Schizosaccharomyces pombe: one gene and its partner. The protein of the gene in region 2 purifies or fractionates together with the protein of the main gene of each other region. This does not show direct contact. Each region holds a gene or a part of one and is shown on either strand. Other genes may lie near its edges.

Region 1 (5,532 bases), 2.9 Mb from region 2:
AGAGGAATCATCTTGAGATAACAAGTCTAAACCCGATCGTACATGTTGTGCAAATACTTTTCCTTCCCCCTTTTGGTAGGGCTCAAGAATCCATTCTGAATCGTCTTCCCCATTAGTAGACCCGCCTAACCAAACCGCATGACCGGCAACAATAATCAAGTGTGTGAGGTTTTTCAAAGGTTGTGCTCCTACCAAGGAAGTAGGACTAAAGCATTGAAGACTGGGATGGCTCATAGTAGAAAATATAGTAAAAAATATGCAAAGCAATATTAGAGAAGCATAAAGTGCTATTCCAGTTCGAGACTTTGGGGAAAGAACTCGCCAAAATCTAGACGATGAGGCGGTTTGGGTAGCATAAAAAGGCAATTGAATAGTTAAGCGTTTATTTAACATTTAAAGACCCAGTAGAATCCCAACCTGGGTGAAGGTCTTTGGCAAGACAAATATGAAAATAAAAAGTTGCTGTAGCGCGGTAGCGTATTATCAGTGATACCCAGGATACCCAAACAAAGCACGCGAAGCTTCTCATTGCTTAAACGAGCTAAAACTTTTATAAAAATTAATTTACCATAGATTCAAACATTAATAAAATTAATTTTATTGATAAGAACGGCAAAAAAAAGTTTTATGTTTCATCCTTTGTAATTGCAACAACGAACAAAGAATCTAAATTTTCTAGTTAATTTATTGCTTTATTTACGCTTTTTATTTAAAAAATAAGATAAAATAAAATTCGGGCGTTTAGCATACCATACATAATCACCAGTTGGCAAGAATCGAAAGTCAATCGTAACAACCTTGCTGAGCCTAAATCGGTGAACTCGTTGCAGGATTCCAAAATGTTGCATACGAAAATCACCAATCTCTTCAATTCCGCTGGCACATCAAGATCAGTTCCACCGCAACCTTGAAGTAAATTTTTAGTGAAAACGGTAGGAGACTTGTTTAATTCATCCAAGCTAATTGTGGTTAACGCGTCTAACTCTGGTATCATAGTACTCTTCAAAATGCCTGCATCTCTTATTCGAAATAAATGGACACCAGTCACTCCTTCTATTGAGCGTACAGATTCATACAAGTCATTGGCACTTTTCAAATCACCAACGTTCATATTTATTTAGTTGTGTAAAAAATATTTGGTTAATATATGTCCATCACTTGTAATCAGTCAACATTAAGGGCAAATCATAGGTCAACAGTCGTTTTGATGAATTAATTATGCATAGAATATTATATTGAATTTGTGACAAAAACAATTTAAATTAATATATGTTCTCAAAATAATGTATATGCAGACTATATGCATATTCCTCGGCGACTTTATATATTTCACGCGTACGTGACATTAACAATATTCAATCAAAGATGAACAATGAAACCGCTAGTCATTATCCTTTTATTTATACTTAAAAATCTATGTTAACCGGTATTCATGAAAAAAACAGCGGCTCAATAAATCGCTATTTCCTTCTTCAATATTGTTCATGTTATGTGATTAACCGAAAATCATGTATTCTTTCTTCTTGTAATAAATCATCGATTTAGCTTTGTTTACGACAACTATATATAGGTGAACAAGTTGAGCAGTGTTTTAATCATTTTCTGAGCGAATAATCATCCCTATAAACGCACCTAGCTCAATTACTTAGAAGTTTTTATGAATATATAAGCGGTTACTTAATTCATTCGAGTTTAAACTGATGCTAGCTATTACAAACTCAATTACGATTTGCTTAGCATTACGGCTCCATTGCCGCCATACAAAGTGAAGAAATATGGAGGAAATTCACCAAAATTAAGAAATATACAAACTTTGAAGCGACTGATTAAACTGTTGACATCCGAGAAAATTTGCATTTTCACACCTTCAGCGACATTTCCCCCGATCCCCGAAAAAGGTGCGACTTGTGAGGATTGGCTATTTTTTATTAATCTAGTGGAAAATAGCTGTTAAACGTTTGCAGATCAGTAAAAATTTTCAATATGAGTGGCAGATTGCGCAATAGTTGGTTAATCGAAATCAATTGCATTAACTGAGAAGTGGACAGATTTTTAATGATCTACGCACATATATATACTGAGACGAATAGAACGACATCTTTGCAATTTGTTTTATCCACATTATCTTCGGATTCGTAATTTTGAGATTCGCTTAACATCTCGCAATTCTACTCAAAATCTCAAATTCATTAGGTGATTATTAGTCTTTAGGCCTCACAATCCTCTCTATATTATATCCTCTCCTCCTTAACCTCATCGAAAGCCACCTCAAGAAAATACACATATTTGGAATAATCAAGTGGTTGGATAAAGAGTATTATTGGAGTTTTTTGAATCATTAAAATCTTGGTTCTACCTCAACTCTTCATCTTTTTACTGAAGGTTGCCAAAGCAACGAGTTTGTGTGTATTTTATATTTGATCTTCTAGTTTCTTTTTCGTTTATCTTTTACATAGTTTGTGTCTCTTTTTAAATTTTTTTTCTTGTTTCCATATATTTCTATCAGCTAGCACTTTAAATTTTCGATTTACTTACAAATTACTTTGTAAGGTTCGATAGTTGACTTTCCCCGCTTATCATAATTATTACAATCTTCATATAGTTTTCTCCTTTTTTTTTGTATTACTATAGTCTTTTATACTACTATCATCTTATCCAAATCATTTCTGGTTTCATTCTGTTAACATCTACCCGCATCATCCGTGATAACATTTTTTTGTGCTATTATCCACTCTATTTTTTTTTACCCTAAAATCAACCTTTGCATTGTCCCTTCTTTCTTTTCATACTTAATATTTAACCTTTATAAAAAAAATGACTACAGGTTATGAATCTGTTCCCACTTCCGAACCCTCTGATAATCTTGCACCACGAGCAGAGCTATGGCAACGCCATTTACTGGAAAAAAAAGAAGGTGATCAATCCATCTCCGTTTCGGCTTTTAATATTTCTTCAATGCATAATGAATTGTCTGGTTTAAGCGAAAAAAGTCGTCAACGTGTCGAAGCTGTATGGGCTGCTTTTTCAGAGGCTTCTTGCAGCGAACGTAAACTCGCTTTGCAAGGCATTTTAAACAACTGTTCGTCCTCTCTTCTCTCTTTTGCCTCCAGCACATTAGATTCTCTAGTACGCTTAGATTTTCTCTCTTTGCTCCCTGTTGAAATTTCGTTTCGCATTTTATCTTTTTTGGATGCTAGAAGCCTTTGCCAAGCTGCACAAGTCAGTAAACATTGGAAAGAACTTGCTGATGATGATGTTATATGGCATCGGATGTGTGAACAACATATTAATCGAAAATGTGAAAAATGCGGCTGGGGACTTCCGTTACTCGAAAGAAATACCTTATACGCAGCAAAGGCTTCCATACAAAAACGTTATGAACGACTTACAAAAAGAGGCGTCGATCAGGCTCATGAATCTTCACCCGTCAAAAAAGCAAAGCTGGACGATTATCCGACGTCGAGTAATGAAGAGACTATTTCTTCTGTCAAACCACCTTCTCCGAACTCCGATTCCAAATTCTTTCTTCCCTTTAAAACCAGACCATGGAAAGAAGTATATGCTGAACGTTGTAGAGTTGAATGCAACTGGCGGCATGGTCGTTGTCGCCAGGTTGTTCTCAGTGGCCACTCTGACGGTGTTATGTGTCTACAACTTGTAAGGAACATTCTTGCTAGCGGCAGTTATGATGCCACTATACGATTATGGAATCTTGCTACCTTTCAACAAGTTGCTCTATTAGAAGGTCATAGCAGTGGTGTTACGTGCCTTCAATTCGATCAGTGTAAACTTATCAGCGGTTCAATGGACAAAACTATTCGTATATGGAACTACAGAACCTCTGAATGCATTTCTATTTTACATGGTCATACGGATAGTGTTTTATGCTTAACGTTTGACTCTACGCTACTTGTTTCTGGAAGCGCAGATTGTACAGTTAAGCTGTGGCACTTTTCTGGCGGTAAGCGTATCACTTTACGCGGTCACACAGGACCTGTCAATTCTGTCCGCATAATTAGAGATCGTGGACTTGTTCTTTCCGGTTCCGACGATTCCACCATCAAGATTTGGTCTTTGGAAACAAACACGTGTCTTCATACTTTCAGTGCTCATATTGGCCCTGTCCAGAGTTTAGCTCTTGCTGATTCGCGATTGTTTTCTTGCTCATTGGACGGCACAATAAAGCAATGGGACATCGAGAAGAAAAAATGTGTTCATACATTGTTTGGACACATTGAAGGTGTATGGGAAATTGCGGCAGATCACCTTCGTTTAATCTCGGGAGCTCATGATGGTGTTGTTAAAGTTTGGGAGGCTTGTGAATGTGTTCACACGTTGAAGAATCACTCGGAGCCTGTAACCTCGGTTGCTCTTGGAGACTGTGAGGTAGTCAGTGGGTCTGAAGATGGGAAAATATATTTGTGGCTTTTCAATAATGCTCCAAATGAATCTCCAGTATCTACACAATCTGTTCCGATATCTTCCCTTAATGGTCAAAGGTCAAATTCAAGTGTGCAACGAGCTCTTTCTTCAGTACCCAACTACTCATCCTCGTTATCCAATATCTCAACCAGAAATTTAAATATCCCACCCTCTAATGCCAATAATGACGATGTGTCGATTCAATCGTAGTTACCCCAACATCGCATCGCCTTTTTGTTTGTGTCTATTTCTTTTTTTCTTCGGCATTTCGCTTGTATATCCTTCATTTTTCATCATTCGAAGCTATGTCTTTATTTATTGCTCGGGTTGCCAAAATGCCATATCTAAATTTGGCTCTTTTTTGGTAACAAACACTTTGTCTATAATCAAAAACTACTTCTAATATCCTTGCCTGTATTGTATTATTTAAATCATTTGAGATTGATGGCATCCCGGCATACAGTTTAGCCTTTTGCTTAATTTACTAGCGAATTATTTTATGACTTTTAACATTTTATGTATTTAATGAATACAATTTATCCTTAGTCGAGCTGAAGAATGTATGATTTGATGAATTGTAAAAGGGAGAAACTTAGGTACTATGTTGTAGGCGTTGTTTTTTCCAATTGCGCAAGTGGATTACTGATATTTTATTTCATGAGCGTGTGTATTTTGCATTGCTCTTGGAGTCAGAGAAGTATGAAATTAGCAAATTATATCAACACTCACTATTAGCAAATAAAGTCAGCTCCTACGCAAGCTAAAGATGTAACACCAAGTATTTGAGCCTAATAATTTTTATAATAAAGACATCAATTTGAAGCACTTCCGTTCTGTAAATCTCAATTTCCCATACGGATCAGTTGCATCTTTTTCCTCATTGTTTGAAATTTTGGAATCACCGGCTTTGTAACAATACTAACTTGCTTGGAATACTCAACTTTTGATTCCCAAAGAATGGTTTAAAGATGCAGCCTGCTTCTCTTGCCGGTATTGTAAGTACCTGATTTCTCTATGTGTAATTGTTTTTCCTTTCAAAATTAAACTTCCTCGCCAAAAAAAGATTTGCTTGTTTATGAAAGCATGTATCATTTAATCGATCGCGGTTTA
Region 2 (4,180 bases):
TGATTATTTCTCTTAAAATGAATTGTTTTTAGAAGTGAACAGTTTTAGATGCTAGATGCAAACGTGAAAGATAGTATATGGTAATACAAAAAACGAAGGATTGGTAAATGGGAGTCCGGGAATTTTTATTTCACTTACGAGTAGAAACATGTAATTTTTTTTCTTTTATTCCATAAGCTTGCGATGTTTGAAGTCGTTGACAACGTCTTGCTTAGTTCAAACTGCTAGTCACCTGGGAATTATCTGAATAAATAAGCATTAAAATATGAACAAAGATTGGCGAGTCCAAGTTTATGTGAAATATCAACAACGATATACGTCGATTCATAGGAGGTTTGAACTCATCAACCTAAAGTTAGAAATACATGGCAAAAGAAATTTATCACAGATTGTTAATATGTTTGCAATCAGACATTGACTTAAATCAATTCTTAAGACTTGTTTGTAAGTGAGCAAGTTTATTATTGTTTTATGAATGATCGAGGTTGTGTAAAATGGCACAGTTTGTATTTGAAAGCTAATTTGGAATCCACAAAATTTAAGATATATAACAGAAAAGCTTTTATACAGCTGAAGTCTTCATTTAATACCCCGAATCCGTCATTGTCTTTTATTATAATACCGAGTTTCTATGCAAGTTAGGTAAAACTCCATATTTGAAGTCTTGGACATTGAAATACTTAAACTGTAACATTTGTTTTAAACTATTAGGATTAAATTTTCAAAGTTTTGATGGCACACATTGTACTATAGTTAGCAAGTATATAGAACGGCGATGGTTGACAAAAATGAACTACAAATGTAACCACGGAATGAACGTGAAGGTTTATCGGATTTTGATTTTAACGCTGTTTAATTTGTATTCAGCTACCTTTAACATTAATGATGAATTTCTGCTATTGGATTTCTAAAACTCCTCTGAAAGCATATAGCAGACAATGTCTTACGCAAATACAAAAAATGCTTTAAGGATTTCAAAGCGTTTTCCACTGATTTTTTTCTTATGCAAAAAGCAAATCTATTACTGACTTTAAGCTTGAACTTCAATCATTCTCATTTCTATTTCGTTTCCATATTCTATTATAGAGGATCTGTCAAGTAACATGTTTTGTATTTGATTCTTTTTTTACACAAGCAGCACTAGTATGAATAAGTTTTAAGAAGAATATGACTTTGTTCCGGAATATATTAACTGACTGAAAAGTAGAGAATATACTGTTTTTAGAAAAAAAAAATTGCGAATTGTCTGACGCACTATTGTTTCAATATATGAACCGTTGTTGGGGATGAAAAATGTTCAGTAAAAACCCCAAACTTAAAACTTATTGCGCATGTAGATCTAAAGTAGTTTATTCAATTAACTATTCGACTGACTATTACAACTGGGCCATTGATATATAAAATGAGCGAATATTCTAATGGCTTTAGAATTTTCAATATAAGATAAAACTTCCGATCATTTACACAAAAAGCAAGAACTTAAGACTGCTTTTTAACTCTCATTAATAGCATACGACTGATTTCTTTAGGATTTTTTTCCTAAATAGCAATTTGTTAGTGACTTATATAATAACGTTTTTCTAGCAGGTTTAAACTACTACGGTAACAACTTCTATAATAATTAACGGTGCACTATCTTAATATAGGATAGTTTTATGAGGATCTACGTACAGCTACACTACATCAGATTTTTAACGCGGAGATTGTAATCTCATTATTATCTCAACGCTGCATGATCCCGATCGCAGACGTGCTGGCTCAGTCATCAAATTTTCTACGATTACCAACGTAGCGTCGCCATTCATCGAGTCACTAAATTTGGTGGTTTAGCTCGTTTATTGCGAACGGTTGAGTGTGTTTTTTTTACCTTTGTGAGATATAATTTGATTAGTAACGATAATTTTGCCGTTAAGTCTTAGGTAAGCTTATTGTTGGAGAGTTCAGTTTTTTAGCGAAATTCCATGCTAACAATTGATTTTCAGTTAATTTTAAGAGACCAAGAGTCTCAAGATAAAGCTTTTGACAAATGGATTTTACTCCTAATAGCGCTATCAATCACTTGAATCTTAAGTTCGATGATGTTCCTGTCTCTGACGATTTTTCAAAGGATGATCTCGCAGAGCAATTAAATGTATTCACAAATCCATACTTTTTAGATTTAGAGCCTTCTAGTATGCTTTCAGAAGGCTATTATGGATTTGTTTCTCAACCTTCAGGTTCTTCCAATTCCAATAAGCAGGAAAAGAACGTGCAGCAACAGAATCCCGAAAAAATTTCGACTTTGCAGCAAGTTAAAGAGGAAGAAGTTAGCAATACCTTTTCTGCCCCTTTGAATGCAACTGGAAATTTTTCTTCTGCTAATCCTGCTTCAATTGATCTTGCTTATCTCGACTTGCAGAAACTCCTAACCCTACCTGATCATTCAAAGGAAACTCAAGAAAAAACTTCGTCTCAACGAGAGCTCTTTGAGCAAAAGTCTTCTGTTGCTTCAGCCTCCAAGGATAATGTTTCTTCTTCCTCAATTCTCCAAGGTTCAGCTTCCTCCAAGTTACTACCTGATCAATCTGCAAGACAACATCAAGTTTTGGTTGGACAGACTGCTATCCCGACTTCTGAAGCTAGCAGCTCTATTAACAATACCCCTTTACAAGCTCCCGTTTCTTCATTTGCTGATCAAAACGCATTTACCAATCCCCTTTCCACTTTTGCCAGTCCTGATTTAGCATCTGTATCTTCCCCTAGTCTTTCTTCTTATAAGGGTGCTCAGTCTCCCAATGCTAACAGTAAACGCACCAAAGCTACTTCTGCCATCCGTACTGCTGCTGAGGAAGATAAACGTCGTCGAAATACCGCTGCTAGCGCTCGTTTTCGCATCAAGAAGAAGCTTAAAGAACAACAGTTGGAACGCACTGCTAAAGAGTTGACTGAGAAAGTCGCCATTTTAGAAACTCGTGTTCGTGAACTGGAGATGGAGAATAACTGGTTGAAGGGACTTATACGTCCTACTTCTAACTTTTAAAAGTGGTTTTCTTTCCCTGTTATTTTATACCCCTGTCTTCTGCATTGATATGTTTATTTCTTCGATAATCATTTATTTAACATATAAAGGTTTTCTTTACAGGTAAACTTATGTTTTCTTTTGGAGCAAATCTTTTAATTTTCTTTTTTTCTGCGTATGCATCCAACTGCTACGTTCAAGTTCATCAGTTTTACGTTTACTAGGTAATGAATTTGATAATATACCTATTTTTCTCGTGTTTCTTGCTTTACGTAAATAAAATATAACGCTTCCAATGTGAATTGTTTTAAAGTAATATGTCAATATAAGCCAATATCAATAAATTTGATACTATAGGTTCAAGCTACTTAAACATCAAACTGTCAATTTGGCTGACCAGATTAACTTCAATTTGCGCCAATTCCTTTTCGATGATCTTATATCTAGCAGTTTGTCTTTTCGAAAATTCCTTAATCACTTTGTTACAATTTATGTGGTAAGCCTCAAGCTTTGACCTCAATTCCTTCTCGTTCTGTAAAATGCCCTCGTATATTTGATTTCCTATCATAGAAGTATAACGTTGTAAACCATCAATAGTAGCAGATTTGCTAGATGGATTGTATGCTTCGTTCTTCTCAACTGTCTTAAAAAATTTGTTGTAGGGTATTTCCTCGAGCTTGACAGTTTCCGCATTGGGATTCCTGTACTCAAGTTCCTGGCGATCTGATATCAGCGTACTGCTACTTGAGTCTGGCTCCTTGTCATTAAAACATTCATTATTAGGCGGGCTTGAGCAGGTACCATCTAGTAGACTGGTAATATTTGGAGTATTTGCTTGTTTAACAAAGGTAGAGAGATCAATTTGACGACTATTTCCAGTAAGTTGAGGCTTAGATTCCTGTTTCCAATGTTTCTCTTTAAGAAGTTCTTTCCATACGGAGCTTTTAAGACTATTATTTCCATCATGGCAAGTAGTAAAGATATCTGTAGCTGTTTCATGCTTTACACCATTATACCAATTTCCATTCGGTACAGGAACTGGAGTCTCAATATTCTCCGAAGTTAAATGGTTCATTTGTTTGTGACCTGCAATGTTTGCTATCGTAGGAGGCTTCAAGGTTTCGTCGTTAATTTTGCAAATGGGGGTTTTCGGACTGTATTGCAAATTAACATTGGATTTCG

Evidence for each region.
Region 1: the proteins of zip1 (region 2) and pof1 purify together in Schizosaccharomyces pombe (affinity purification with western blotting; one study listed by BioGRID). This does not show direct contact.

What each region holds. Positions count from the first base shown.
Region 1 is NC_003424.3:1,372,166-1,377,697, reverse strand, and holds pof1 (F-box/WD repeat-containing protein Pof1), read left to right. Parts: upstream 1-2,102; 5' UTR 2,103-2,814; coding exon 2,815-4,632; 3' UTR 4,633-4,976; downstream 4,977-5,532. Other genes in the region: SPOM_SPAC57A10.07 (uncharacterized protein), read right to left, coding at 1-393; protein mug15, read right to left, coding at 626-666, 751-1,111; SAGA complex deubiquitinating submodule subunit Sgf11, read left to right, coding at 5,391-5,417. UniProt on the Schizosaccharomyces pombe protein: Probably recognizes and binds to some phosphorylated proteins and promotes their ubiquitination and degradation. Required for the inactivation of zip1 via ubiquitination.
Region 2 is NC_003424.3:4,298,040-4,302,219, forward strand, and holds zip1 (DNA-binding transcription factor Zip1), read left to right. Parts: upstream 1-1,775; 5' UTR 1,776-1,919; exon of another isoform or gene 1,920-1,982; 5' UTR 1,983-2,026; coding exon 2,027-3,019; 3' UTR 3,020-3,362; downstream 3,363-4,180. Other genes in the region: meiotic recombination protein Rec10, read right to left, coding at 3,363-4,180.